Linked DNA regions of Tamandua tetradactyla. The protein of the gene in region 3 purifies or fractionates together with the protein of the main gene of each other region. This does not show direct contact. Links are inferred from orthologs where the notes say so. Each region holds a gene or a part of one and is shown on either strand. Other genes may lie near its edges.

Region 1 (8,067 bases), on a different chromosome or scaffold from region 3:
CAGGGTTACACTCACGGTTAGGAGGTACTCACAGGACTCATCTGAAGAGATACTGGGGAAAACGTGACACTCCGAATCAAGGACAACTGTCACAAGAAGTTGCTTTAACTCTGTTCCAGTACGAATGTCAGCAAGGCCATGATGCCATTTGTAGAAACCAAAAATAAACTCATAATATCTGTGTGAGAAATAAATTTAAACAAATTTTTTAAAGCAAAGTAGATAAAATTTAAACATATATGTCTTAGGGAGCTTTGTAGTTGATTCCCATAATCAACTTATGATTCCCATAAGACCAACTGGAGACTCGACCTGTTCCGTACATTAGAATCACTGAGAGGCTTTCTGAAAATACTCATGTCCAAACCTTAGAATCAGAATCTGAGCACGGGACCCAGGCTGGGGAAGTTAGTAAGCTCCCACACTTCCCCGTGACTGCTGAGACTGACTCAGAACCAGCAGCCAGACCAATCACGGTGATCTCATGGCGGACAGATTCTGCCCAGAGAGGAGGGAAGGGGGAAGGAGAGGGGTCTGGGAAGTTTCCTCTCCAAGAGAGCCACAGAAACGGTTCTTCTTTCTTTGGATGTGAGCCCGGGACCAGCTGTAGCCACACCGAGGACAGCAAAGCAGAGGCACAAAAAATCATGGATCCAGATGACAATGATGAGTCACTTAATCAACTGGCCCTAAAATATTTCCTACCTTTGGGCTTCCAAAAGCATCCTAGCTGATGAAAAAAGATCACCAACCCACAGGGTCCTCACAGGACCTTTAAAATTCACCTTCTGTTCATACACAAATATCAGGGAAAGAAGACATTAAATAAAAATGTAAAGGTGCTGAAGGATAAAAAGATCAAGGAGGTTTCAAGGCAATTGTTTAAGTTTATATATTCTGATAAGCCAGAAGGTTGTACATGTTACCCATGTGTAAGAGGGTCCTGTGATTTTCCAAGAGAAGGTAGGAGAGGGAGGAAAGGTCCAATGAGACTGGCAGTGTGTTGCCCTTAGTGAGAGAGGGGAACGGATGCAAGTGCTGAGGCCCCTTCTCATAGGAAAACCTTAACAGATGAAGAAGGAAATTAAGGCCATTAAAGCAGCTATGAGACCTGTTCCCTTCCCGGAACTGAGGAAGTGTGGCTATTCATTTTTTAAAAATGACTGACAGCACGTGCCAAGCTCTGTTCTAGAAACTGAGGAAGTAGCTGTGCACTTGCCTGTAACCAAAAGTGTACTGTTTCAAAGCCAGGTTTGTGATGGAAAATGGGCTGTAAAGAGAAAACAGGCCCAAGACTGAACAGTCTGGAGCCCACCCTGTGGGTCCCCACTGGCGAGAGCTTTCCGAACACCCCCATGTTCCTAAATCCTCCCCAGCCCACCACGCTTTAACTCTGAGATTGACAGAGTGTGGGCCCTATAGGACACACCTGAATGCTTTCAAGTCTTAACCATGAGGGCTACTATTTTCATAATCAATTTCATAACAATGCAGGCACGATCAGTAGCATCCTACACACAGGCAATGAATTACACAGTCAGGTGTAGTGAGGCAAACTCCAGGTAATTACCTGCATAGGCACTGGCGTGCCAGTGGTTTTAACATCACCTCCCAGCTGATTCAACTCCCTGGTTATCTAACCATTGTTTAATTTATGTCACTGTGCTTTCTTGCCATACTCCACAATTTCAACATATTACCAAGTATTTGTTTTTCCGGCAGTATAGCACAGAACGAAAATCCAATGTAAAAAGCTGAGCCCCAAAGCAAACAGAGTAAATATGTTTGTTTGTAAAAAGAGTTCCAAGCCTAGCCAAGATCTTCCTTTAGAGGGCCTTCAAGTACTTTTCCATAACATCCTTCTCAATATCCCAAGGCCACCAACCATTCTGGTTTTACTTTATCTCCCCAACTCTAGGCATCTTAACCTGTTAGGAGATTCAACATCAAGACCTCACTGGAGTCTTGCATTTGGGGACAACAACAGCCATTCCAGTTGTAGAAAACAAGAGAGGACAATGTGCCCTCCACACCTCGGGGCTCTTCAGGCTAAGCCCGCCCGGTACACGCCCAGGGACTAGAAAATATTATTACACTAGCCTTGCATTTTCCACCCACTGTGAACACAGGCAGATGCGCGGGCAGGAGGAGGCAGAACAGCGAGCACCAAAGCACACCTCCAGGGTTCCTTCAGGTCATTCCCGCCTGCCTGGGCTCCACTGGGAGACGGCACTGCGTGCTGAAATCTCTCTCCCGAGGCAACCCGCCTCGCACACTGGGCCTGGCCAGGTTACAGCCGGAGCGGTTTCCCAGCAGACGACCAGTTCTGTCTGCAGCCAAAGAGGTGAGAGAGCGAGGTGGCCCTGTAAACGTGACGTGCTCAGGAACTAAAGGTTTCCTCCCGGGTCTTGAAAACAGGAGGCGGCAGGAGGGGCGGACACACGGAAGCCGAGCCCCAGTCCTAGAAGGGACTGGACCCAAACGGCCGACGCTGCGTCTGCCGGGGCACCCTGGAAGGGGTGTTCCCGCGCACAGGGCTGTTGGGAGAGCTTCTGGGGTTCAGCAGTTCAGCTTTAATAAAACCTTCCCATCAAAGGTTTATAACACCTAAGGCAGAGTTTTGAATAGGTGAGAAGTTAAAAATCATGCAGAAGAAACCCCGAAAGAGAATATTTTGGCAGAGATGGGGAGAGGACGGCTTAAAACTTCAAAAAGACACCAAGGACCCTCTGGGGAGGGGGCAGGGGCGGGAGATGGGTGTCTACATGCCCGCTCGCCGACGCTGGGGGTGGCTTCTTCAAGGAGGAGCGCGTGTACAGCTTCGGAGGCATTTGTCTTTCTTCAAGGGAGCTGCGGCCACTGCGCTCCTCCCTTCCTCCAGCACTTGGGGGGCTCCTCTCTCCTTCTCATCCGTGCCCCCAAGCAGGGAGACAACGATGCTGCGCACCCCGCTCCCTCTGCACTGCTCCCTACCCGGGCCAGGGTCCGCGCGCGCCCCGGGCGTCCCCAGCGCGCCCCGGGCAGGGCCAGCCTTGGCCGGAAGCAGTTCCGCGGTTTTCTTGCCCGGAGACCGGCCAGGGCTGAGGCGCTGCGGCCGCTTCCCGGGTGGGGACGGGGATCGGACACCCACCCGGCGGCCCGCGCGCTCCCCGCCCAGCCCCGGGGTGGCCACGTCTCCCCCCGGCGCGCCCCAGCGCCCCTGGGCTCACCGACGAAACGCTTCCTCCAGGATGGAGCAGGCGGGGCCGGCCGTGGACCCGGGGCCGTGGCTGATGAGGAAGCGCTCGGGGGCGAGGTGCAGAGCGCTCGGGGACAGCTTCACCGACAGCGGCTGCGGCCACAGCGCCGGCCCCGAGGCGCGCAGGGCGGGCGCCAGCAGCAGGGCCAGCAGGGCGGGCAGGGCCAGCCGGGGCGGCAGGGACGGCAGGGGCGCGGGCGCGCGGCGCGGGGCTCGCTGCTCCATGGCCTCCGCGCTCTCCGCGGGCCGCCCAGCTGTCGCCGCTGGACCTTTGTCCGTCCCGGCCCGGGAGGAGGCGGCGCCGACGCGCGTGAGACGCCGAGTCAGGTGACCGCGCCCGGCCCGCTCCCCCCAGCCCCTGGTCCGCCCCCGCCCCGCTCAGCTCCGCCCCCCAGCCCCGGGTCCGCCCCCGCCCCGCTCAGCTCCGCCCCCCAGCCCCGGGTCCGCCCCCGCCCCGCCCCCGCTCCCCCCACCAGCCCCGGGTCCGCACCCGCAGGCCCAAGCCCGCGGGTGGCCTGTAGAGCCTCCCCCGCCTGAAGCGGAAACCGACGCCCGGCATTTAAGGGAGGAGCCCGGCGGGCAGAGCGTGGGACGCCAGCCCACGGTGACCCGGGACACCCAACTGCCCGCAGAGCCCTGGGGCAGCGAACCCGCAGGAGCCAGGCCTTTGGGGCCCTCTGTTCCATCCCAGTCTCCACAAATACCAGATAACTGACGTGGTGACTTAAGTTACTTAATCCTACATCTAGCCTTTTCTGTAACAGCATTTCAGCTTTAATATAACCTTCCCATCAAAGGTTTATAATGCCCAAAGCGGAGTTTTGAATAGGTGAGAAGGTAAAAATCATGCAGAAGAAACCCCGGAAGAGAATATTTTGGCAGAGATGGGGAGAGGACGGCTTAAAACTTCAAAAAGACACCAAGGACCAAGTTAATAGGCAGATGATGCCAAGAAGAAATACATTTGTGACAAGGGTTAATATTGTCAAAGTATAATTTTCAAAGAAGGTTTAAAACGTGATGCAGATCACAAAACAAGTCTCAGTAAACTGAGATATTGATTATGCGATATATCTTCTCTGACCACAAAGGAATGAAGCTAGAAATCGTTTACAAGGGAGAACAGGAAAACTCACAAATATGTAGAAATTAAACAATTCACTCAGACAACCAGTGGGTCAAAGAAGCACTCACAAGAAAATGGGTAACCCTGAGATGAATGAGAATGAAAGCACAGCCTACCATCTTATGGGATACAGCAAAGGTAGTACTTAGAGAAATCTGTAGTTGTAAATGCTTACATTAAAAAACAAGAACAAGTCAGTACCTTAACCTCACACCTGGAGGAATTAGAGAGAGAAGAGCGAACTAAATCCAAGATGAGCAGAAGGAAGGAAACAGTAAAGATTAGTGCACTGATAAATGAAATAAAGAGGTGAAAACAGAGAGAAATGACAAAAGTTTAAATTAGTTCTTCCAAGTGATCAATAAAATTGAAAAATCTTAAGCTGACAAAGAAAAAGAAGAGGATGCTGGTGACTGAAATCAGAAATGAAGGGGAGAACATTACTGCTGAGCTCACTGAAATATAAACACCTATAAGAGGATACTTTGAACTACTGTATGTCAACAAATTAGAGAACCTAGATGAAATGGAAAAATTCCTAGGAACATGCAAACTACCTACACTGACTGAAGAAGAAATAGAAGATCTCAACAAACCAATAACCAGTAAAGACATTGAATCAGTAATCAAAACCTCCCAACAAAGAAAAGTCCAGAACCAGATGGCTTCATTGGTGAGCTTTTATTTATTTATTTATTTTTGCATGGACAGGCACCCGGAATCGACCCTGGGTCTCTGGCATGGCAGGCGAGAACTCTGCCTGCTGAGCCACCATGGCCCACCCTTCACTGGTGGATTTTAGCAACCATTCCAGGAAGAATTAATACCAATCCTGCTAAATATTTTCCAGAAAATTGAAGAAGAGGGAGCACTTCCTAATTCATTCTTTGAGGCCAGCATCACCCTAAAACCAAAGCCAGATAAAGATACCACATGAAAAGAAAACTATGGACAATATCCCTTATGACAATAGATGCAAAAATCCTCCACAAAATCCTAAAGGACACTTATAATCTGATTCTATTACGAAATAGAATGAAACTGTGTCTAGGTTTTTACTCAACTCATTAATTAATGAATTAGTATGATATTTTCAAAATCATTAGAGCTATGGTTTTGGTTTGTCCAACATCCTTTCTCTTTCTTCTGGTGACAGAAACCCTCTTCTCCCTTTGGGAATGTTGGCGTCTCCATTCCATGCTGGTCATGTGACTTCACCAGCTTTGCCATAGGGGTGATTGAGACCAAGCCTTGATTGTTTTGGGATCCTTGATCAGGACTGGTATGGGTGGCTGAGGGACATGTGCTTTCTTTAAAGGGGTCCCTGCTACCCAGGCTGCCACTGACCATCATTATCGTAAGGAGGAGGATAAGGTCAATGCTGAGAAAAACTGAGTGGAAAGATAGAGATACATGAGGAGAGAAGAAAGTCTAATTGATGACATTTGAATCCATGGATTCAGCCACATTGTTTCTGATTGCTCTAGATCTGCTATTTTCTCTCTAAATAGTATATAGAGAGGCCTGTCACAAATGAATATTTAAGCTGGGAATTCATTATAAGCAGAGTTTTGTTTTGTTTTTTTGCTTGTTTTCTTGTGTTGTTGTTTCTTGGGTAGGGTCGAGTTCCTATAGGACACTAACCAATTTTTGACTCATTTAGTCATTTTATTCTAACATTGCTTCATTAAATAGTCTTTGAATCAGATTTATCATTGTCCGTAATTAAAAATGCCTAATCCTCACCATGGCCCACAGGGCGTGGCGGAATCTGACCTCTGCTCCTGTCACTGACCTCAGCGCTCTACCCTTGATCACCCTGCCTCAGGTGCATGACCTTTCAGTTCCTTGAATTCACGCAGCTTTCTTCACCTGCCAGGGTGCCAGAAGACACCAGCGAGATGGGGATGAGAAAGAGAACAGCAGGTCCTGTTGTTCCCTGGGCCGAGCACTTTTACATGTACCAACGTAGTTCAACAGCGGTGGTCGACCAGTTAGCCGCAGGGAGTAAGGACGGCAGGAGGGACTTAAGGGGAGTGATCAGATTTTAGGCGCAGACTGTGGGTCAGTAGCTTCTCAGTCATTCAAGATTTAGGTGCAGAGAATAAAATCCACTCTGGTTCCTCAGACAGGAATTGACTACAGACTAGCTAGTGACTCATAGAATCCTTGTGAGACCTAAGAACTCAACTCTTGGCTGAAACTGCAGGAACTACTGCTTCTGTCATGATCAGGAAGCTGCATGCTGTTGGAAAATCCTCTGCTATGGGTTCTAGTTCTAGAGTCACACCATTTCACAGCCTGTGCCAACAAAGCGGACCCCTCCTGCCCTGTCTCTCTCTCCAGCGAACTCACTTCTGTCTTCAAGTCTCACATAATTACATGTAACTGGCAGAAACTTAACATCCAACCACAGCAGCGAGGTGGTCTGGGGAATGTCGGTTCCAACGTCTCCAGGGTAGGAAACTTACTCGGAGGAGGTTGGAACTGACACCGCCTGAGCCACTGCAGCCTCAGACCTGCACAAGCATGTGGGCAAAGCACCTCGCTCCTGAGGGGTCCTGGACAGCCCGGGGAGCGAGGTGAGCCCCTGACACTGGACGTGCATCTTTCCTCTGGCTCCATTTTCCTGATCTCATGGGGTATCGATAAGCAATCCTGAAGCATTTGTGCATTGCCACTGCAATCATGAACACTGGGATTGCGCTTCATTTGGCATGGGGTGCTAAGGTGGACTCTTCCACGAGGGAAAGAAGGTTTGTGGTGAAACTTGGTCTGGCAAGCATTTTTCCCTGCTTTACTAAGATTAGCCCTAGAAGCCACTTTCTCATTTTGTTATCTGGTAAACTGCAGCACCTGGTGGGAATTTGAGCTGTCTTGCTCTCCAGCATTTTGCTTCCGCCTTCCTCTGTTGATGAATAGAATTTATACAATTTTGGAAAAAAAGAATTTATATCATTTTGGTATTCATTTGACTTGTTGGGGCAGGCTAAGTACCAAAGGCTAACAAAAAAGTGTCATCCACCCCGGGGCATTTTAGTAATCAGGAGCTACTGTGATGCCACAAAATGAAAAGATACAGTAATACACTAAATTACTAGGTGACTTTTAAAAAATATATTTTATCGAAAAAATCTTCATACACAGACAATCCATACATGGTATACAATCAGTGGCTCACAATATCATCATTTAGTTGTGTGTTCATCACCATGATCATTTTTAGAACATTTGCATCACTTCAGGAAAAGAAATAAAAAAATAAAAAGAAAAAACTTACAGATCCATCCCCCTTACCCCTCCTTCTCGTTGACTACCAGTATTTCAATCGACCCAATTTTTTTATCCTTTACCCCCCCATTATTTATTTATTTACTCATTATTTACTTTTCATCTTTTTTTTTTACTCATCTGTCTACACTCTGGATAAAAAGAGCATCAGACACAGGGTCTTCACAATCACACAGTCACATTGTGAGAGCTATATCATTATACAATCATCTTCAAGAATCAAGGCTACTGGAACACAGCTCTACAGTTTCAGGTACTTCCTTTAGCCACTCTTGATACACCATAAACTAAAAACGGAGATCTATTTAAGGCTTAAGAGTTACCTCCAGAATAACTTCTTGACCCCATTTGAAATCTGTCAGCCACTGGAACTATATTTTGTCTCACTTCTCTCTCTTCCCCCTTTTGGTCA
Region 2 (7,640 bases), on a different chromosome or scaffold from region 3:
GTCTGTGGATAAAACGAGACTATCAGCCCTGTTCGGTAGAATCAAGTCGGGGCCCAGAGTGGCAAAGTCACTTGCCTGAACACACACAGCAAACTGCACAGCAGCATGGTAATTTGGAACACTGCCCTGCCCCTGACACCAGCCTTGATGTTTGACCCCAGGAGCAGACAGGCAGCCCCCTTCCAAGCCTGGGGTGGGACAGAGCCCCCCCCCCCCCCCCCCCGGGGTTGTGTGGGTTTCCCAACCCTCCAGGAGGAGGTCTCTGTCCTCTTCCTTGTAAGACTGGGCTACAGCCTGCCCCTGGCAGCCATCACGGTAACTAACCTAGTAACCAGGTCTGGACCAGGGTCCCCACCCTAGGCTTGGCACACTTTGCCTCCTTTAACTCAGGCTGCTAGTCTTGACCCCATTTTACTGGGATGCAGGGAAGGTGGTGGCTATTCAACAGCATTTGAACCCGGGCTGGCTGATAGGCCATGCTCTGTCCTGCCTGGCCAGGATTCAGCATGTCACACAGCCTGGGATTGCTCCCTGCAAGGGGCAAACACCCCAGTTCCCCCAGTCCCCCCTCCTGCCAAGGAAGAACAAGTAGAGGGAGCATGAAGTAAGGCTGCCACCTTGTGGTGGCGGTAAATAACTACAGGATCAGTTTCCCAGACAGGAGGCCTGAGACACCACTTGGTGGGGGTGGGGCAGGGGGAGGGGAAGACAGACTAACACACCCAGACACACTCACATCTGTCCCTAACACTTTATTGGTTCCCCCCAAGCCTGTGCCCAGCTGAGTGGGATCTGGGCAGAGGGGATTTCTCAGGTCCCAGGTGGGGGCATCAGAAGAACCTTGGGGCCCCAAACCGGGAAGCTACAGGGGTCTTTCCTAGGGTCAGCACTGGGCACCCAGGCAGCGGCGTGGCTGAGGGCAGAGGGCCCAAGCTTCACCCGCCTGCTGGCCTAGTTGTGCTTGGCGAAGTATTCCTTGCTGTCATCCACGTTGGGCTTGATTGTGTCGCTGCCCGGCTTCCAGCCCGCGGGACAGACTGTGGAAGACATGAGAACTGATGTGTGAGCCTACAGCCCCATTTTCCAGGTAGAGGCAGGGGGGAGGGAGGAACAGATACAAAGCAAGGGCCTGAGTTGCAGTAGAAAAACCTAAGAACCAATTGGTCCAGGCTCAAAAAGAGAAGCCCCATCCCATCACCCTCCAAGCACCTGTTTATCCTCACAGGCCCAGCTGCAGTATCTTCTGCCTCATCATTTTCCTTCTCTTATTCTCACTTGCTTTTTGGTGTTTTCAACCCCATGTCTCACCCTCAGCCCCAGTGCTACTGGACTTGAGCATCTACATTCAGACTCTTTAACCAGGATCCAACTAACATACCCCAAGCCTAATGTGCTATATGCAACCTCGAATACCTTCTATGGTTCCCTATGACCTCCCAGCTGCGCACCCTTACAAGGAGGCATCTCCTCCACCAGACTAGAAACTCCTTGAGCTGAACCTTCTTTGGGGGCCCTAACATGCCCCTACCCCTGCTCAGGTGATAGGGCAGGCAGTGATTGTTTGCAAGAGCCACTGAGAGGCTCTCTGTGTGTCCACTCACCTTCGCCATGCTCATCCGTGTACTGGAAGGCCTGGACTAGGCGTAGGGCCTCTTCCACGGAGCGTCCCACGGGCAAGTCATTCACTGTGATCTGACGAAGGATTCCCTTGCCATCGATGATAAACAGGCCCCTGAAGACATCAGGGTTCAGTAGTGAGGAGCTGGGACACTCCCTGTGGCCAGGAGCTGGAGGGAGCATGGACCACCTCCAGCCACAGAGCTGGGGATAGAGGGGAAATGGGAAGGGGGCTCCCTGAGGGTGGGGGAGGGTCCCTCAGTACCTGTAAGCAATGCCCTCATCTTCCTTCAACACCCCATAATCATGGGACAGGCTTCTGGTCACGTCAGCCAGCAGGGGGATGTTCAGCGGGCCCAAGCCTCCCTCTTTCCGCGGGGTGTTGATCCTGGGGGTGGGGGAGACAGGGCTGGGGCCTCAGGAGGTCCCACACAGTGAGATCCTTACCCTTTGCGCCTGGGTGATAAGGGCTGGAGTGGGATGCTGGAGGCAGGAGATATTGGGGCCCTGGGAGTACCACCCACCCCACCCTGAACTGGGTGCAGGAGCTGTTTCCCACAGCTGGGAAGACTAAAGCCCCTGCACTCATGTGCAGGCTTATGCTCCAGCAAATCCTCTTTAGGCATCCTCATGGCCTCCAGCCTGAGGCAGGGATCCTGCCATCACATCTCCATCCTCCTTCCCTTCCTGGAACTGGACTTTCCACCTTCAAGTACTAAGGCAATCCCGCCTTCCTCCCAGGGACTATAGGGAAAAAAAGCATGTGCAACTCCCAAGCCAAGCAGCTCGTTTCCACATGCTCATTGCTGTCAGCAATCCTTAATGACCAGGGTGTTTTCCATGGAAATAATTTCCGTGATTCTCAAGGTGGTGAAAGGGAGGGTAAGAGGTTGAGCAACGGCGAGGCCAGCACGGACGACGCTAGGATGGGAACCTAGTTGCGCCCCACCCTCCCCCTCCCCCCAGTCCCGGCTCCTACCAAGCTAGGTGGGTGAACTGGGAATCGACAGAGGCTCCTAGCACCTCGCAGCCCAGCTTGCGGAAGTCCCCGGCACGCTCGCTGAAAGCGATGATTTCGGTGGGACAAACGAAGGTGAAGTCCAAGGGGTAGAAGAAAAGGACCACGTACTTCCCTGGGTTGGGGGTGGGAGTGGAGAGGTCGCGCGTTAAGGCCCAGGCCTCCTTCTGCCCGGGCCCCACCCGCACCTGGGGTCCCTCACCTCTGTAGTCCGAAAGCTTCACCTCCTGGAAGGCGCCGTCCACCACGGCCGTGGCGTGGAAATCCGGGGCGGGCTTCCCGATGTGCGCGTGGCCGGAGGCCATGGCTGAAAGCTGAGACCCCCACGCCCCACCCCCAGCCGGGTCAGCGCGCCCCGGAGGCCCCTTTGTCCTCCTTTCCCAAGGTCACACTGCGTGCGGACCGCGGAGACCGAGCGAGAGCGGCGCAGCCGGCAGCGGTGACCCCCTCCCTCCCCGGTACCGGGTATTGCGCGGCCCCGAGGCTGCTGGGGACCCGGCCCCCTTGACCGCGGCACGTGCGGCCTGGCCGCTACCGCCGGGTCCCCAGTTCGCGCGTCGGAGGGAGCGCGGTGGCTGCGGGGTCCCCACCCAGTGCCGGGAGGAGACGGCAAGGGCCCCCGCGAGCAGGGGGCGGGGACTCCGGCCGCCCGGCCTCGGTTTCCCCTGCAAGGACAAAGGCGGCCGCTGCAGAGGGCGGAAAACAAAGGGCGGCCAGCGATCGGTCCGGATTCCGGCGGGGGCGGCTGGGAAGGGGCTCCTTCCCGAGCCCGGTGCACCCGGGGTGGCGGTACCTGCGTGGACACGGGCGGGACGCACGGACGCAGCAGAAGCGCGGCCTCGGATTTCTCAGCCCCAAGTGCGCGCAGGGCTGCCAGGCCTTTTATGCCCGGCCGGAACCATGACGCGCGCGGGGGGGGTGAAGATGAGCTGAGCCGCCGCGTCCACTGCGCCGGTTTCGGTGGGGGGTGGAGAGCGAGCGGGTGGCCGGGTCCATATGCCCGCGAGCGGCAGGGGGTGGTGGTGGTGGTGGAGGGGAGACATGCAGCCTCCGGGCCCGACCACTGTGCGGATCCGCGGGGGTAGCGCGGGCACGGCGCGGGGCTCCAGCCCCGAGCGCGCCGCGGGCGGTTGGAGCTCGGCATGGCCCGAAGGCGGGCGGCGCTGCTGCTGCTACTGCTGCCCCTGGCGCTCCAGCTGCTGGCAACCCCCTCCGAGGGCTCCCCGGACTACCAGTACTTTGGCGAGCAAGGCGAAGGCGACATCTGGGAGCAGCTGCGGCAGCAGCAGCAGGAAAAAGGTAACCGCAGGGCGGCCGGGGTGAGGGCGCCTAGAGGTGCCCCCCTCACCCCTGCTTTCCCCGGGACGGCAGATCCCGGCTGGGCTCACCACACTGGTTGCGTCTGATTGGGCTGGTTACTTCTCTCTGAGGCTGTTTTTCCATCTGTCAATTGGAAAGGAGATTGCCTTTTAAGCGGCTCATAGCTGGAGAGGGGGCGTGGGCCGGCAATAAAAGCAGATGCACGTGAATTTGTTGTGGGTAAAAGAGCTAGGAGGGCGGGGATGGAGAAAGAAGCTGGAGATCAGCTTGAAAAGTCAGAAGAGGTCCCGGTGGAGGAGATAGAAATCCATTATGAAGCCAAGGCCAAAGATGCAAAGATGCCTTGGGAGGGTGAGTGGGGAAAGAATGGTATGCCAGGGAGAGGGACCCAAAAATGCAAAAGCCAAAAGGCCCAAAAGAGGGCAGGGAAAGGAAAAGGGCTAGGGTGGCAGAGACCTAGAGAAGAAGAGATGGTAGGGAACAAATGAGGTGTCAAGGCCCTGTGAGCAGGCCGTGGGTTTAAGACTGGTGACAGGTTTCTATCTGGTAAGTCCATAAGAAGTGGCAGCTGCTTTAAAAGAATCATAATTGTTTTTGTTCTGTGTGCTAGAACAGCGCCAGAGGCTTTAAGTATCCTCATTCTGTCATTTGATTATGTCATTTAATTTACCATCTGACAGCCCTGCTGGTCTGGTGGCATGGTGCCTGCTGGACAGGTGTCCCAATAGCCAGCACTGAGGGTCTTCTACCACACTCCCAACGGGGCAAGCTGGCACAGGTCGGAAGTGTCAGTTTGCAGTCCCCCTGGGCCGCTCAGCAGATGGGTGAGCTCAGAAGGGTGACTTGCCCTCTCTAGGTCTCAGTTTCCCCACCTGGGACTAGTGGCCATCCCTCTCCATCAGGATTGCTGGGAAGATTGAGAGGAACTGGTCAGAGGCAGAGCCCCAGGAACAGATATGAGCTGGGGTTATTTGTTAGTATCTTTTTTGCCTCCGCCCCAGAGGAGGGTAGAGGCAGGTAGGTCCTCCCCCCCCCCGCCCCACCCCCAAACACAAACCTGGGTCTTTTTCTCGGCCCTTTCCCCCAGACCTGGAAGACTCGATCCTGAGCCCGTGGGGAAAGTGGCGCTGTGTCTGCGACCTGGGGAAGCAGGAGCGCAGCCGGGAGGTGGTGGGCACGGCGCCAGGCCCAGTGTTCATGGACCGAGAGAACCTGGTGCAGGTGCGGCCTTGCCGGCAACGGGACTGTCCATCTTGCCAGCAGGACCAGTGCCATTGGAGGCCCTGAGGCCGGGTGAGAGAAGGGCGTGGAGAGGACAGGCCAGGAGGGGACTGTCAAGTCCAGGGGCATTAGGTTCAGGGGTGAGGATTGGGGATCCACAGACAGAAGGCGTGCACCCCACTGACACCTGGGGAGAAGGGAAGACAGTCAATGGGGGCGAGGACGGGGGAACCAGGACCCTGAGGTTCAGGGGCGGTGGCCTAGGGTCCAAGGCTCTGAGCCCCGCTGAGACGCGGGGGGTGAAGGAGAAACCCGATTTGGGGTTATCAGCCTGCAGCAGGCGGGCGTCGACCTTGAGCCAGGATTGGTAATTGGGGTCTGGGATCCTAATTTGGGGGTCCGGGAGGCTTAGCCCAAACGAGAGGGTAGGGGGGCAGGGACTGTGGGGGAGGAGGGTGGATCCGAGTGAGCGACTGAGAGAGGAAGGGTAAGGGCCACAATTCGAAGGCCTGAGCCCAGGAAGGGGCAGCGATACCTAGTCCAGGGGGCTTGGGCTGGGCCGAGGGCGGGGCGTCAGGGACCCGGAGTCCAGGTAGGAGACAGGAACACAGTGAATGTGGAGTGACCCTTTGTTCTGGAAGCTAGTGGTATCTGGTCTTGTAGGCTCCGAAAGGGCCGGGTCTTTTCATGTCCCCGCCTCAGTTTCCTTCTCCTGGCACCAGACCCCGCCGTCCGGGCTTCGGAGTCCCCGGGGCGGGGCTTGGAAAGTGGCCCCGCCCATCCCGCGTCTCAACCTGAGTGTTCCGCGGTCGGCCTCAGAAACTACAATTCCCAGGAAGCCACGTGGCGGCGACGGCGTCTGCTGGACGGCGTCGGGGGCGTGTCCTGCGCGCTGATTGGTCGGGAGCGAGCGCGCCAGAAGAGCGCCGAGAGCTGCGCGGACACGCCCTCTTCCCGCCGCTGGAGGCTGTGGCCCAGGCGGCGGCGGTATGGATCTCAGTGAGCTGGAGAGAGACAATACGGGCCGCTGTCGCGTGAGCTCGCCGGTGCCCGCAGTGTGCCGCAAGGAGCCCTGCGCCCTGGGCGTCGATGAAGCAGGCCGGGGCCCCGTGCTGGGTGCGCCCCCGGGGCCCGGGGGTGGGGGAGGGGCGCGATAATGGGGTGCGCTTCGCCCATGACCCAGGAGGGCCGGTGATGGCGATGATGATGGCGGCCGTGACATGAACCGGTGGGCGAAAAGAGCGGTGATGGAACAGGGATGAGCGCTTTGAGGAGCTCACTGCTTGGATTCGCCCAGAAATCTGACCCCCTTCCTCTCCAGGCCCCATGGTCTACGCCATCTGTTATTGCCCCGTGTCCCGTCTGGCAGATCTGGAGGCCCTGAAAGTGGCAGGTGAGTCTGGGGTGGTGGGGGGCGGGGATCGGGCGGTTCCGGGGCGTGTGGAAACTGGTGGAGGAGGAGGAGGAAGAGGGCAGGAACCTGGAGAACCAGCGCCCTCCTTCTCTCCCAATCCTCCTCCCAGACTCAAAGACCCTGTCGGAGAGCGAGCGGGACAGGCTGTTTGCGAAAATAGAGGAGGACGGGGACTTTGTGGGCTGGGCACTGGATGTACTGTCTCCAAACCTCATCTCTACCAGCATGCTCGGGCGGTGAGGGGTCCCCTGGGAGGGGCGGGATGGAGGGGCAGCCAACGCCCTGAGGGAGGCAGAGAGCACTTGCTCACTGGGCCCTTTGGCTGGAAAGGGGTTAACCAGGCTGTGTCCCCTACCTCAGGGTCAAGTACAACCTGAACTCCCTGTCCCACGATGCAGCCGCCGGGCTGGTGCAGTACGCCTTGGACCAGGGTGTGAAAGTCTCCCAGGTGAATCTGCTGACAGGTATCAATCAGAACTACTCTGATACCTGGATTGCTCCCACCTCAGGATAAAATGGGGGTAAAAAACGCAGATTGAGCATTAGATGCATTACAAGTGCCTCATGAATGTCTGAATGTTTGCTGTTGACATCCTCTCCTGTCCCTGCTCCAAACTGCAGGCTTCACTGAGAACTACCTTGGAGCCCCCAGCCCCTCACTCTCCCATCTAACCTACCCTCCAATCCTAAATGCTCAGTGTCCAGAACAAATCTCATCTCTGCCTACTTGTCCTCAGCCTCTGTCCTCGCTCAGGACTTCCCCCTTGCTGGGATGCCTGTCCTGGCCTCCTCCATGGCCCCTCTACCACCAGTGTTACTTCCCTTTGGTCTGAGCCCCACCCAGCAGACGCAGTCATCTCTGTAATATGTAAATTTCAACATTTCCTAATAATAGTGGAAATTAAATTTGGAAAACTCACAATTTAAGTGGGAAAGGTGAGGATTGAGTGACCAGAGGAAAACAGATTCCTTGCATTGAGTGCCCTGAGGTGAAGGGGCTGTTTGGAGAGAATTACAAGGAGAAGTACTTGAGGCTGGGACAGTGTAGCA
Region 3 (7,737 bases):
GCACAGGGAGCACTTAAATGTTAGATGTATATACTTTGAAGGGTTTGACTCTCTTACAGTAGACACATAATACGAATTTAGACTTATTTTGTAAATGCGTGTGGATAGGTCATTTTGAACATGGTGCATGCACGTGTACACATCAAACATTTTAACCCAAACATCAGCACATCATACACTTTTCAGCACCCTGTTCTTTCTCCATCAGACACTGTTCTGCATCACAAACATAAAGATTTGCCTTAAGAAAAAAGAAAAAAATGTCACCCAGACAATGGGCAACTGGCTGCCTTAGGAGCCCTGTACCACTCTCCACTTACTGTACATTCTAGATTTTTTATTAGTAGCCAGAATATATCCTATCCTACTGCCTGGGAGGAATGAGTACAACCATTCCTCTCAGTTTAACCATATGAGTTTAATCCTATGTACTGGTTCGGGCACTGAAAACGAGATAACTGTTCCAATCTAACTACTGAGTCTCAAAAGAAAGGACAATAAAAACACTCAAGCAGTCGTAAAAACAAAGAACTCACGCCATGCAGGCAAAGGCATCACAGCATGGCTACATTCAGGTACCAGGGAAGTTACTCTGGCAGCCACAAGGAGACCTTAATAATAATAAAACACAGCATCCACAAAATACAGTAATACACATGTTGATGTCTTTGTTTTTAGCTTGGTTTGTTTTTAAATGGCCAGGGCCAGCAATTACAAAGGTGTCACTGGTCCTAAAATTTGGCTTTCCACTGGATAAATTCCACAGCTCCAAGTAAGTATGTTGGCAACTGCTACCTTTTTTCTTTTCTTTGCAGAATACAGTCTATAATTCTTCTGAAGTACAACCTTTAAGTTTAGAAAAATGCAAATATGAATTTCGTCCCCCGAAAGGCGATGTGTTCTCAAGAGCCCTCAAAGACTGTATTTTGAAGGGCAAGGTCTTTCAAACCTCCTTTAAAGGGCACTACATACAGCATACATAAGCTGTTTTCTTCAACACTAAGCTGTACCAGCACCATCTAGAATGAGAAAAACAGACCAGGGAAGCAAAAAGGGATGCAAAAAACTGCTTAGGAGTATTACCCTGGGCAAATGAAGACTCAGTGTGGGCAGATGTCCAATTTTTTCAAGAAAAGCTAGGAATCTGAGCTCTCGGATGAAAATTTCTCATTTTTAAAAGCTGGGAACTAATCCAAAACTTCAAAAACCGAAAAGGCCAAACCAAATACAGTTTATAGCCAATCTATTACCTCTGCGTTATCTACAGATAGCAGTACAGTTGTACTGCTCAACTCTCCAATGACCTTTACCAAGTACAAAGGGCACCACCAAAATGCAGTATGGCACTTAAAAAAAAACCTGCAAGACACTCAGGAAAAGGCTTTCCAGGGTTCACATATATGGATTCAGGGCCAGCCTTCCGTGCCTCTAGGTAAGAGTCATTTCCCAAAGGCCAGAGGAGTCCCTCAGAGGCTTCTGATTCTTTATTGTTAGTGAGTTATGTGAAGAGGAACAAAAAGGAGTAAAACAAAGTTGGACAGATGAAAATACAGTAAAATGCAGTCAAACGTTCACTAGCCTTTTCCAGAAAATTAGGAACCACTTAAAGGGGGGGAAAACATTGCAATTGATGTAAATTCTTTCTCGCACCAAATCACAGATTGGGCACCTACCTAGATTACCACTCCTGCCCAATCACATCTGTAACTCACTTTAAATCACTTTTAAGACTAAATCTCACTGACATATTAAAAATACTCCAATGATTATTAAGCTTGCAAGACAGGTGTTTTCCACTAGTAGTGATATTACTTCTTACTATTTACAAGACTTGCTCAGAAAAATGGTCTTTTATGATCTCAGCCAGCTGCCTACCGATAGAGCAGTTCTGAAGTCATTTTACAGAGGATTTGGTTAAAGATCTCCAAAACCTGAGTTTTAAGTGAAAACTCAACGCAATTGAAATGCCCAAGGTCTCCCTAATTTCCAAATCTCAAAATCCCACCCACTACCCTCTACCTGGCTGCACATTAGAATCGACTTGACAACTTTTTTTAAAAAGCGGTGCTCAGGCCTCACTCAGAGAGATTCTTACATAACCCTCCAGGCGTGGGCCCCAGTGTCTGTAGTTCTTTTTCAAAAGCGCCCCCAAATGAATCTACAGTGCACCTAGGGTTGAGAATCACTGCTTTGGGGAAGGAAAAAAATAAGTTAACTGAGTCAAATTTGGAGGCGTAAATCGCTCTTCTGCATTGCCTGACCATGAGCCAGCCTAAGGGTCAGTAAACTACTCTTTGGAGGGCCACAAACGGTCTCTGCCGTATATTCTTACTTTTCATAGTCCTTTCAAGATATACGAGCCGTCCTTTGGCTCGAGGGCTGTACAAAAACGCGCCGCGGCATCGCATATGCCCGTAGTCTGCGCAGCCCTGACCTAGGGTCATGAAGTTGAAAGCGCAGCCCGAAAGCATAACTGGAGGGGGAAAGCACCTACGCCGGCCCGGCCACCTCCGGATCCCACCGGTCTGCCCGGGCCAGGCCCGCGCGGCCTGGGGGAAGCTCTCGCCTCGGGGCCCCGGGCCTCGGGCCTCGGACTGCGCCACCCGGAGCGCGCGGGATACTCAAGACCAGGCAAGTGCCCACCCGAGGAAAGGCCTCAGCCCCTTCAAAGCGGTCCAGCCTTCCGCCCAGCCTGTATAACCACCCAGAGGCGTGGGCGTCCTCCCTCCCGGGCCCGCGGCGGGGCAGGCCGGGGATCCCACCCCCACCCCACCCTCAGGCCCAGCCCAGCTCCGCGGCCGCGCCGGTCACGCACCGCCGCCGCCCAGGCCCGCCCGGTGACTCAGCACTTGGCGGCCGCGCGCGGGTGTTAGCGGGGAGCGCTCGCGGCCGGGGGCCGAGACCGGAGCGCGGCGGGGGCGTGGCGAGAGCGGCCCGCACCCCCGTGCCGGACGCCCGCTCGCGGCCCAGGTGCGCGGACTGGCCTCGCCGCGCGGGCCCCGGCGCCTGCCCTTGCCTCCTGCTTGAACTCGATGGTGCCCTGCACGGGGCCGTCGCCCTTCAGCACGCACACGGCCTTGGTCACCATGACTCCCGGCAAGGCCCGACACTCAGCAGGAAGAGAAGCTGCGGAAAACGCCGGCGCAAAGCGAGAGGGACGCGTGGCGGCCCTTTTATAGGCCGAATCCTCGGGCCACGCCCACACTGGCCCGGAACCAATCGCCGCCCGCCCCCGGCGGGACCTCGGGTTGTAACTGGTCGGAATGGGCGGGGGGGGCGGGGCCGAGGGACCGAGGGGCCGCTGGCTCCCTCCACGGTGCTGCGGTGCAACGTCCAGAAATCTGAAACCGTGGAAAAAAACAGCGTTTTCTTCCAAACGGTGTAATCCGTGGATTGCAGTACGTGAAACTGAGAAAATGAGGTCTGTTTTCTGGACGTCTGGAAGATTTGAAGCCACTTTGTCTAGGCGTGCCCTTAGGTACAACTGACTTTTGACGTAACACTGCCTCATTTGTTATTTAGAATTTGGGACGCATCAAGTTCTGTGTTTTTTGTGATTTTCATTTTCTGCTTGGTTTTTTGATTGGTGATGAACTCGGCGCGTCTCAATCCCTGGCCTTTCCTTCCTGTAGTTTTGTTAGTACACAGTGTTATTTAACTTGATAAGACAGAATTCTGCGTTGGTTTTTTTTTTCCTCTTTTTCTTGTCTGACAAGGCCACAACTGATCAATTTTTATGTACCTCTCCTGCTTCTCCGGCTCCACTGTCGCAATACCCAAGGAAAATGCACGAAGGGTTACATAACTGTGATACCTGTATTTAAAGAATGTTTCTTATCCTTAAATTAAAATATTTCAAAAGCATAATATGAAATAGTCAAAGCCAGTTTTTTGTGTCAAAATTAAAGTAGAAACATATTTACTTGTGTGCATAGAAATGTCTAGAAGGATAGATAAGAGACTGGGCACTTTTACTAAAGCTGTTCTTTTAGAAAATGTGTTACAATGAAAGTGTAGTTGTACATAACAATAGAGTTTGTTTTCTTAGAGTAAGGATTCTCCAAACATAGGCACACATTTTTGTTGGCTAAATACTTTGATAAACTAAGAAGTGAAGGAAAGAGTACCTACCCTATGATTCCCAGAGGACGTGTAGATTTGGGGGAAAAGCTAGAATTACCTGACTCAAAAGAGGAAATGAGGAAGGTGTCCTGAAAGGAAAGATCCAGAGACAAGGAGAACCCAGTAGGGGCCAACAAGGAAGAGACTTAAGAGAGAAAAGCTATGCCTTCTGGAGATTTCTGTTTGCTGTTTATGACTTAAATCCTCTCCCCATCTCTCTGTAATTTCTTCAGTACAACCTACATTTCCCCCTAATGATTGGTGGAGAGGATTTCATTTTGAGGATGCAAAATACTGAGTCATAATACAAACCCAATGTGAAACAAGAATAGAGGCTGCTCCAAAATAAGTAAATGGGTATTATCTACTTATCTTGGAGTCCTTTGGGCTCCCATGCATTCAGTATTGGGGATTCACTTTCCACATTTTTTTAATCATCTTCTAGAAAGTGCACACATTCTAATTTTGCTTTTCAGTGCCTACTGATATTCTGCAGACAATTGGCATATGCTACACTGTTGCATAAACCTGCAAATCCTGGCCAAAGGGCCTTTACTCAGGGCCAAAGTTTCTTTGTGTTCCAGGAAACTAACTGTGCTGGTTTTAAACTGCTGTGTACTCCAGAAAAGCAGTTTTTTAAAATCTTGATTCAATATTGTTGAGTGGGATCTTTTTGATTAAGTTGTTTCCATGGAGATGCGACTCACGCAATTGTGGGTGGGACTTTTTGATTAGGTGGTTTCCATGGAGATGTCTCTACTCATTCAAGATGTGTCACTTACTGGAGTCTTTTAAGAAGGAAACACTTTGGAAGAAGCTTCAGAATTGACATAGAGATGTTCGGAGATGCAGAAAGAAAATGACACCAGGGAAGCTGTTTGAGACCAGAAGCCAAAGGACCAGCAGATGCCAGCCACATGCCTCCCCAGATCAGCCTTCCTTGAGTCAAGGTATTTTTCTCTGGATACTTTAGTTTGGGCATTTTTAGTGCCTTAGAATTGTAAACTTGTAACTTAATAAATTCCCTTTTTAAAAACCAACCCAGGAAAAATATGAGAGGATTGTATGGTGGCCCATGACAGACTCTGGGATCTGTCCTGTAACTACTTGTTGAAGAGTGCTTTGAAAACTATTGCTTTTTTATTTCTTTGCTTTGTATATATTATACAATTTAAAAAGTTAAAAAAGCAAACAAACAAACCAATCCAGGGTGCATGTGTGGTTCAGTAGTAGAATGCTCATCTTCCATGCAGGAGACCTGGGTTCGATTCCTGGACCATTTACCACCACCACCACCTCCCCCCAAAATAAAACCAACCCATTTCTGATATATTGCATTTCTGGCAGGATTAGCAACTAAAACTCTTGTCAAGCAGGTTGCAGTTCATTGCAAGAGCTTGCCAAGGAAGCAGCCATGCCTCCAAAGAGCTACCCTGGGATAGAATTGTTCCTCCTTTGAGATTCAGATGAAGCCTGCACAGCCCCTTGTTGGGGGTCCGGCAGGATTAGAGAATATCTGAGGTTTGTTCCTAGTACCGCCTTTTCACCTGGGCAAGGGACTCCCCAGCCCTGGGCCCTGTGCTCAGAGGGCCCTGCTCTGGCCGTTCTCAGGCCACATGCCCTGTGGGGAGAAGAGTCTATGGATCCAAGAAGGTACTCCACCCAGAGCCCTGCACCCCCTTTTTTTAGAACAAGATTAAGCAAAATTTAAATCAGGTATCTGTGTCTTCCTAATGAGAGGTTTCACATTTGAGGCTGGATAATTCTCTGTTATGGGGGCGGGGGGCTATCCTATGCATTATAGGAGAGTTAGCAGCATATCTGGCCTCTACCTACAAGATGCCAGTAGCACCGCTCCCTCCAGTGTGACAACCAAAAACATCTCTAAACATTGCCAGGTGTCCCTGGGAGGCAAAATGGCCCCCAATTGAGAACCACTGCAGCCCCTGAATTTCCCTGCCTAGACAGCCCTGTGCGGGTTTCCAAGGCCTGGACAGGCAGACAAAGGACTGTGCACTTAGCGTGTATAAACCTAAGCTGTATAAACTACCAGCCCCTCTCAGTGCAGAATGGAGTCAGCAGTGGGAAAGAAGAAGTAAAGGCCAGGGTCAGGGCCCAGTGCCTACTTGATGACCACTTTTCTTGGACAGAACTCAAAGTCTTCCAAAATTCCACATTTGAACCTGTCTTCCAGGTCTTCATGAATGTTTATTTGTCAGAGTGAGAGACTAGAACACCTTACATTTAACTATGTTATCTTGTTCTATAGCATTTAAATGTTTAGCCTACTTTATGAGAGCCTCAATTTTTATTCTTGCCCCACCCTGCAAGTGTTAGGGCAGGTCTGTTCATTCCAACTATAAGAGTCCATGATGCTATGGTTTGGAGGTGCACTTGTCCCAAAATCTTGACTCGGAGTCCATGTGTTCCAGATTGGGGTATACCCTGATGACTCAGACATGCAATCTTGAAAATTCCCTCTTGTGCCTGTCTGGTCCCTTTGAGAGTCATAATATCCAAGAAGTTGAGAGAACCCTACAGTAGCTTAAGTGGCTTGAGCACTGGAAGTTGATTTGAATCTGATGGTCAAAGGATGACAATCCAGAGAGACGTTCTGATTTTGCAGGGATGATGAGGTATGGTGGCTCGGATCAGATGGTGGCATGTGCTGATGACTAAGCAGTTTACAATAGGTCATATTGACATTCCTGAGAATGAAAAACTCGTGTTCAGGGACTCCTGGGGCTAAGGAGTGAGTTAGAAGGTGGACAGCAAGTTCGGTCTTGCATTTCCATTCTTTTCTCTCTTCTTCCTCTTACTTTCTTATCCCTCGTTCTTCTCTCTTCCCTTTATCTCACCTTCCTCTTTCCTAAATCATCTTTTTCTTCTGGGGCCCAAGGCGATTTCCTTTTTATGTGGTCATCATTCTCTGTAAATATATAGTTATCTGTTAATCTTCATATCACACATCACAAAGGGATTGTCACCAAGGCCCTTGCTTCAAAGTTCTCCAAAATATTGTATTTTTCATATGAATGGTAGGAAAATGGCAGAACTAAGCGAAATACAAAAGAAGTGACGTACAAGGAAAGAGATTTACTCTTTATATTAAGAAATAAACACTAGTAACTAGGAAACAAATTGAAAACATTGTAAAAGTGGCATTAGCTCCTTCTACATGTCTGAATAATCTAAGTAAATGACAAAGCTGTCATTACCAAATTGTGAACTTTTTGAAAGAAGGAGAGGGAAACTTTGAGAAGTTGGAGAGTAAAAAGTAGCCCATCAGTGGGCAAGGGTGACTAGCCTGGGATTAGAGGCTTGTAAACTGTAGTTGAGAATTAGTTGTATACTTAATAATCCTGGCTATATATGGTATACTGTCTGTTCAGCAGTACTTATACTCTTCATTCTGTAATAAAACGAACAACTATCCAGTAACTGGAGCCTAACCAGCCCCAGCTCTGGGCACCTCTGGCCACTGTCTCATCTCAAATAATTCTCTCTGAATATTAGTTATAGATCAGAGGCAGCTGGGCAGGTTGCAGTGGCATTCCTGCCAATCCTAAAGAACACCCAGGGTGTTATAGAAGATTCTACAAAAGTTCCATGCAC

The links.
Region 1: the proteins of SOD1 (region 3) and HEXB purify together in Homo sapiens (affinity purification with mass spectrometry; 3 studies listed by BioGRID and IntAct, with this or other methods). This does not show direct contact. The link is inferred for Tamandua tetradactyla from reciprocal best matches to the Homo sapiens genes SOD1 and HEXB.
Region 2: the proteins of SOD1 (region 3) and PRDX2 fractionate together in Homo sapiens (co-fractionation; 3 studies listed by BioGRID, with this or other methods). This does not show direct contact. The link is inferred for Tamandua tetradactyla from reciprocal best matches to the Homo sapiens genes SOD1 and PRDX2.

The regions. Positions count from the first base shown.
Region 1 is NC_135347.1:57,696,985-57,705,051, forward strand, and holds the start of HEXB (beta-hexosaminidase subunit beta), read right to left. Parts: upstream 3,561-8,067; 5' UTR 3,464-3,560; coding exon 3,210-3,463; intron 179-3,209; coding exon 33-178; intron 1-32. UniProt on the Homo sapiens protein: Hydrolyzes the non-reducing end N-acetyl-D-hexosamine and/or sulfated N-acetyl-D-hexosamine of glycoconjugates, such as the oligosaccharide moieties from proteins and neutral glycolipids, or from certain mucopolysaccharides.
Region 2 is NC_135337.1:89,828,687-89,836,326, reverse strand, and holds PRDX2 (peroxiredoxin-2), read right to left. Parts: upstream 3,561-7,640; 5' UTR 3,429-3,560; intron 2,950-3,428; 5' UTR 2,941-2,949; coding exon 2,838-2,940; intron 2,751-2,837; coding exon 2,597-2,750; intron 2,006-2,596; coding exon 1,883-2,005; intron 1,733-1,882; coding exon 1,602-1,732; intron 1,038-1,601; coding exon 952-1,037; 3' UTR 738-951; downstream 1-737. Other genes in the region: ribonuclease H2 subunit A, read left to right, coding at 6,166-6,292, 6,498-6,569, 6,700-6,826, 6,951-7,038.
Region 3 is NC_135336.1:91,659,599-91,667,335, reverse strand, and holds the start of SOD1 (superoxide dismutase [Cu-Zn]), read right to left. Parts: upstream 3,171-7,737; 5' UTR 3,089-3,170; coding exon 3,017-3,088; intron 1-3,016. UniProt on the Homo sapiens protein: Destroys radicals which are normally produced within the cells and which are toxic to biological systems.